Macaca fascicularis: one gene and its partner. Each later gene encodes a partner of the first gene's protein in a complex. Links are inferred from orthologs where the notes say so. Each region holds a gene or a part of one and is shown on either strand. Other genes may lie near its edges.

What was found.
Region 2: the proteins of WDPCP (region 1) and INTU are in contact, whole or in part, in a cryo-EM structure (PDB 7Q3E), measured with the Mus musculus proteins. The link is inferred for Macaca fascicularis from reciprocal best matches to the Homo sapiens genes WDPCP and INTU. Residues at the interface, in NP_663400.2 of Mus musculus: Phe3, Cys4, Leu5, Ile24, Leu51, Ser54, Arg55, Asp56, Lys93, Leu385, Ala386, Glu387, Asp388, Tyr389, Ile427, Lys446, Leu447, Gly448, Ile449, Leu450, Thr451, Arg452, Gly453, Leu455, Leu462, Gln463, Ile465, His466, Tyr467, Gln487; in NP_780724.3 of Mus musculus: Val481, Gln484, Val488, Asp491, Ser495, Asp496, Glu498, Ala499, Ala500, Asp501, Ser506, Glu507, Asp508, Arg513, Arg514, Thr517, Ser532, His533, Leu534, Pro535, His574, Tyr593, Glu610, Gly613, Cys614, Ala615, Ser616, Lys617, Ser653, Pro654.

Annotation. Positions count from the first base shown.
Region 1 is NC_088387.1:58,502,289-58,505,807, reverse strand, and holds part of WDPCP (WD repeat-containing and planar cell polarity effector protein fritz homolog), read right to left. Parts: intron 1,495-3,519; coding exon 1,361-1,494; intron 1-1,360. UniProt on the Homo sapiens protein: Probable effector of the planar cell polarity signaling pathway which regulates the septin cytoskeleton in both ciliogenesis and collective cell movements.
Region 2 is NC_088379.1:132,729,263-132,732,781, reverse strand, and holds part of INTU (protein inturned), read right to left. Parts: intron 3,438-3,519; coding exon 3,280-3,437; intron 1,053-3,279; coding exon 941-1,052; 3' UTR 1-940. UniProt on the Homo sapiens protein: Plays a key role in ciliogenesis and embryonic development.

The sequences.
Region 1 (3,519 bases):
CACCTAAGATAAAGAAACTAGTCATTCAAAATTTTATATACAGTTACTTTAAATAGTTTGAGTTAATGCACACACTGGTGCATTTTAACGACCGATCAATTTTAGTAAGTAAACAGTATTTCAAGTAAATCTGGAGTTAGCCGTTCTAGAACTAACATCCTTTTAAAAATGCTAATACTATTTTTGTTTTGGCTAACCACATATAATAAGTAGCACTAATTTCCAGTTTTAAAAAATCTATATTAAGGTTTTACAGAAGTTTCGCAAAGCTGGCAAACAAAACTAGATGGTAGTTTATTACCACAATGAAAAACTCATTTATTTTATTCTACATTAAAAATCTTTTTTTCAGAATAAATGTTTCTACTAAATAAAACTAAATCCTCCCACACTACCACCACCTCATTCATAAGTAATAATCCCAAAGGGCAAAGGGTTAGGTTAAATACTAGTTTGCCAAAAACACACACACATTTCAAGCTACAGAGGTAGCTTCTCAAACTCTTTGCTCTTGCTGTAGATGCTCCAGGTATGGCATAAGTGTGCATCTTTTTTAAGGAAGCTGTGTATCAGCTCTGTTCCCAGTGAACAGTGAACTGTCTCAAATCCACATCACAGAGGTTGGATCAATCTTGCAAACACAAGTCATTGCTGAAAAGAGGCCTTGAACTGAAACAGCCTGGAAAATGTATTAGATACTCATCCTAGCAGAGAATATGCCTTCCCAGCAGTTAAAATGTAATGTGGCAAAACTTAAACACATCACTTAAAATAAGAATTCTGCCTTAACAGATGTAAAGCCCCTGATACAGGAAGGAAACAAATTACCTGGAGTTAGTGAAGGGAGAGATACTAACACATGAAGGAGATTTCTTTTTGCATTTTGTCCAGTTATAGTTGGAAGGGGAGGGTTCTTCCCCCTCCTTATTTATTACACTTTTCTATTAACCTTTGAAAGTGCCTTCTTCTTTCTTTCTTTTCTTGTGAAGTGGAAACCAGAGCAGCTATCCTACCCTAGAAAGATGATATGGGGTCTTACGGGAAAATGAGAATATATATACTACCACTAGTACAAAAACCATTTTCAAAGTGTAACTTGCCTCTATTATCTGTCTTTGACGTCTATAAATACTATATAAATTGCTCCAAACATGCCATTGTTAGACATCCCCCCATAGTGAGAGTATAAAAGAAAACTTAGAATGGCCACTGTTTGCAGTTAATTAAGCTTAATCCTGTAATATTTCCAGTGTTTCTGAAATCCAGAATGTTTAAGAATAATGAGCAGAATACCAGCTTATGAGATACTTTCATATACCTTAATAATTAATAATATGACTATATAAATCAAAATATCTACCTTATAATCCAAGGCTGAGAGTTTTTCCAGTCTTTTGTTTACATCAGAAGAATCCATCTTCTTGGTAAACTGAATAAAACATAGCTTGTTTTGTGCCAAAAATGATAAGATGATAAAACTGTCTGTGAGAAGAGCTAAAAACCATAATTAGATAATACCAAGTTAGAATAAAATAATGGATAGATTTTTTCCACTGAAATGTTACAAAAAGCTATTTTCAAACATACATATTAATTGAAATCACTAAAGTCTCCTGAATATCATTATAGCATTTTATAAAAATATTAAAGATATTAGGAATAAACAATAATTATCAATCTAATCATGTATGATTTTTTTTTCCTGTGACTATTTCAATATACACTGATGTTTGGGGACCACCACTGGATGAGATGTATTTAGAACCAGGGCTATAAAGATATTTTTAAAAAACTATTTCACACCTGAATGTAGAGATGAAAACATTCCATTTTATTTGTGCTAAGACTTTAATCCTATGTTTATATGATAGAAACCATCTGAGGATAAAGTGGATTTATTAGGGGATACTGATCAGTGTTCTCAACCAGTCTCTTTATTTAAAAAATTTTCATCAGTGAATCTTCTTTTAGGGGTATACAAGCTGGATGAAATAAAGCATATTATACCCAATATGTACATTACATAAATTAATATTTAATAATGAAAATTAGCAATTTCTATAGCTTTGTCATTAAGCATACAAGTAGGTAAATAACTAATATTTGTGGATTATATAAAGGGCTATTGATGTTACATAAAATTATTGATAAAAATATGTTACAGGAATTTGAGAAATGCTTTGCATTGTTCCTAGCATAAAGAAATTATTAAATGTTTTATACATTTTCCTTTACTTTCACACCCCTGACCATGCAAACAGTGACCAATAGTGGATCTACACAATTACAAGAGAATCTGGAGAACTGCCAAGAAATCACATTGTTACCACGTTCCCATGAGAGTGTATTATTTTGGGTACAAATAAAAGAAATACGTGAAAAGGGATAACTCAGAGACACAAATTGTGCTGAAAAGTCTCCTTTTATTTCTCATTGAGGAGCATCAATATAACAAAATCATCAGAGCCAGTATTTTATTTGCAGTACCAATGAAGGGGTCAATAATTAGACATATGGAAATGGAACCTCTTCTACAGGGAAGCTTCCTCAGCACCTTACTCCTGTAAGGAAGGGGAAATGGCATGCTTACAATCCTACCCCCAGCTTATTACTATCAGTAATGTTGCTAATTATGGCCATCCTGCAGAGTTCTTTTCTTCACGATGACGTGATTGTCTGATTTATTCAGAGGTAGCTAGTGAGAGAACACAGCAGACGGAAGATTTCTTTATTCTCACCTCTGTCCTTTCCACTAGGACATACTTCCTTTGATTACTAAATTTAAGATACTGACCATTTTCAATCTATCATGATAATACAATGTTTCTCAACCTTTTTACCTTGAAAAAAAGAATATAATCTTTAAAAATTCAGGAGTCAGCACGGTATAGTGAAAAGAAAATGGGCTTCGCAGCCAGAACCTGTATTCAAATCTCATCTCAGTCACTTTCTAGCTATATAACTCTGGACATGTTCCTTAGTAGCTCAGCTTCAGTTTCCTTATGTGTAAAAATGGAAACAACTATACCTTATACAATTGTTTTCTTGTATTAAATAGGTAGGTTAGGAACCCAGCATACAGAGCCTTTTGGCTCAATAAATATCAGTATCCTTCCTATTCAATAACTGGCTTAATATCTTTTTCTTATGTGCTTTGTACCAATTACAGACTGATTGTGATGTCACTTAATAGGACCTGATTATCCAGTATATTAGGCATTGATCTTTATTATTTAGAAAATATAGCCCAAAATCTCTCAAAAGTTAGTATTCATAAGATTTTAGTAACAAGGAATCTTCCTATGAGAGCCAAAGCATCAATTGTTTACTGGTGGCTGTGTTGGTATATTTGTGTTATTTATTCAAAATTCATTTGGAAATGAAATATATACTTGAAGTACCAGTTATAGAGAACTAACTTTGAAAGAATGAAAACAAAACCCTATTTTGAAAACAATGCTCACTTCTTTTAAGGAAAAAGTAAAAAACAACTCAGAACATAAGCTTAACACTTGACAA
Region 2 (3,519 bases), on another chromosome or scaffold:
GCAATAGACTGGATAAAGCAAATGTGGTACATATACACCATGGAATACTATGCAGCCACAAAAGGGAATGAGATCATGTCCTTTGCAGGGACATGGATGAAGCTGGAAGCCATTATCCTCAGCAAACTAACGCAGGAACAGAAAACCAAACAATGTAGGTTCTCACTTGTAAGTGGGAGCTCACCATGAGAACACATGGACAAAGGGAGGGGAACCATACACACCGGGGCCTATTGTGGGGGTAGGGAGAGTATTAGGGAAAATAGCTAATGCATGCTAGGCTTAATACCTAGGTGACAGGTTGATAGGTGGAGCAAACCGACATGGCACACGTTTACCTATGTAACAAACCAGCACATCCTGCACATGTACCAGAACTAAAACTAAAACTAAAACAAAATAAAAGCACATTTTACTTAAGAGGAACTTTTGAAACCTCAATGCAATCATCTCATTTTACATGAAAACTCTGAGCTTAGAGAGGTACAAAAACTTGCTCATGGTCATAGCACTACTTAGCTACAGCACCTGGTCACCTCCTCCCAATCATAATTGTTTCACCAGATATCAGTATGAATTTTGAGAAAAATAAACAAATTGGATAGTTTTCAGGAGTAAACGTTTCCTATATTAATCTTATATGAAAAACTTCACATTATTTCAAACTAGTCAATAAATTAACATTATATATCAAAATAGCAATAAGTTAACAATCCCTTCTTTCACATTTTGATCAAGTATATTCTCAAAAGTCTTACAATATTACATTAAGATTTAACATACCAAATCCAACAGCATTTCATATCAATATTTAACAATACTATGTTCAATATTGAAAAGTAAAAAGAAACTAAATTTTAACTCTTTTTGTATTGATTTCAGCAATTCTGACAGTGTTTAATCCTCTATGCATGTATTTCTACACATCAAGAAAGCACGGCTACAAGGTTAACCCAAAGAACAATTTAAAAGCTATTTCAATGGCAATTTCTGTGACTGAGTCATGAAAACAGACATAAAGTTCTTGAGGTTTTGGATGAAGAAAAAGTCTCCTGCAGAAGAAAAGAACACACTCATTTCAGAAATTAAAACAACAACAACAAAAACTCTAACTGTCCAATTTATTTTTTGTTTCTGAAAGTATCAGTAGTAAATTTAAAATCCACAAATCTAAATCTATACTAGGGAGAAAGCAGCTAGATTTATTTCTAAATAAATAATATATGCCTTAGGACAATTAGTTTTTATTGCTCTGGAGTGTAATAATCCTATTTTATCAATATGTATTACAATACCACCAAGTTTTTAAATAGTAAATCTAGTTATTACAATAAAGGCAATAGCACTAGCATCATAGGCACAATAGTTATTAAATATTTTATTGCTCTTTACTTTCTAACATTTAATTTTTATTAAAACATTAAATATATGGTAGCTTTTTTTGGCAAACAGAACTGAATTGGAATTAACATTGAAATTTTATTTGATTTTCTTAAAGAGTCAAAATTTGAATCTATTTAATCAATATTAATTTATATAAACTGATCTATTTAAACTGGAGATAATTCTGCCTGATTTTCTTAAATTTCTGTTCTGCATAAATCTGCATTATCATAATTCAATATCTTTTGATTCTTTCTATTCCTATAGTCATGAACGTAGTTAACACTCCACTGAACAGCTACATGTGTGCCTAACTGGTCTTCTCATTTCTAGTCTCTCTCATATGCACATCATTCCATTGGCTGCTCCCAGTTTAATCTTCCAGTAGTACAACTACATGGAATTAAGCTTACACTGATGTTCCCAAGCCTGGTTCATATGATAATCACAAGGGAGCTTACTAAAAATACAGATTCCCACTCTCATAGATTTTGATTTAGTAGATCTGGGGCCCAGGCATCTCAGATTTTAACAAGTGACCCAGGTGATTCTAAATCCCATGGACCAGCATATGGGAATTTCTGCTTTGGATAATGTCTGTAAAGTGTGTATCATACAGCTTAATACTACCTGGTACATGTCCACTACCCCTACTCCCAACTAATTCTGTGCCCTTTCCTCCACCAACCTTTACTCCAACTCAAAGAACCTTCTGCAGTGGTCCTAACTTAGGTTCCCAACTTCATCTTTCACTTAATCTTTGTATATGTCATTCCTCTACCATCCTGGCAAACCAGTCTGCTCACTGCTGTGCTGTATAATTTCCATTGTTTGGGTCTTTGTTCATTAGATTTTGCCCCCTCCTCAGAATTCCTATAGCATTTGGTTGTATCACCTAATTCATTTTACATATATGTATATACAACACACACATATATAGGATTTCTCTCTATATCTATATAATATAGATATATAAATATATAGATATTTGAGCATATTTCATAATTCTTTTGCTAGATATAAGGCCCGTAGAGGCAATGACTATGTCTCTGTGTTTGCCATACCGCCCACTGACCACCAACCCCACCACCAGTTCCACATTTTGCCAGGAACAGTCTCACCTACTCAACCATCACATATTTATCAAGTGACTATATTATGTGCCAGGTACTGTTGCAGGTGCCAGTGGTGGACAAGACAGATACAATTCCTGACCTCATGAAGCTGCCACTGTAATGAGGGTGGGAGGTGGAGAAGGACAAGAAAATAAACAATAAAAGAGTGATATAGAGAATAACTGAGTAGCCACTTTGATGAGGAAAAGAGATCATGGATCCTCTCTGACAAGATGACCTACCTGTTAGCACTGGTCTGAATACCAAGGATGCAGAAGTGCAAAGGTCAAGGGATAGAATATCCCACGCAGAAGGAACAGCAGAAACAAGATTTGATTGGTACTCATGCAGCTGGTGCACAGCAGACAGAAGAGGAAGGAAGACAGGAGATGGAAACAAAGGTGGGCAGGGTCCTGATTGGGCATGGTCTTGTGGCACAGGGCAGAGAGAGGGGAAGGGAAGAAAAGGGAAAGGATGGAAAGAGGGAAAGAAAGGAGAGAGGAGGAAGAAATGAACGAAGCAGGGGAAAAAGGGAAGAGGAGAAAAACTGTGGAATTATTCTTTCAGTGTATTACTAAAATTTAATTTTGTAAGGTAATTTTTAATAGAAAAATACTTGGAAGGGATTTAAAAGAGATACTTAGCAAATAAAATAAAATATATTAAAATATTATAGCTAGATTAAAAATTCCGTGCCTACATTTTAAAATGTTAATCTCCTTTATCAATTTTCTTTCACTTTTCTAACACTTTACTTTCAAATACTTTTTTTCCCACTTACCCTACTACCCAGTAGGCCATAACTGGTGGTGCTTTTTTCTGATCAGTCCAGTTTCCAGGTGAACATTCAAACAACACACCATGTTCTTTAACAGGGTTAAGAGAAGACACCGACTTTGTGGAATCTGAACGGTCTCTACTATTTAGTCCTTGCTTTTTCTGTAAATTAATAAGTATTGTTAGTATTAACTGGTATTACTAGTGTTACTTTAAAATGTTTTCACAGATTAATTTGAATTGG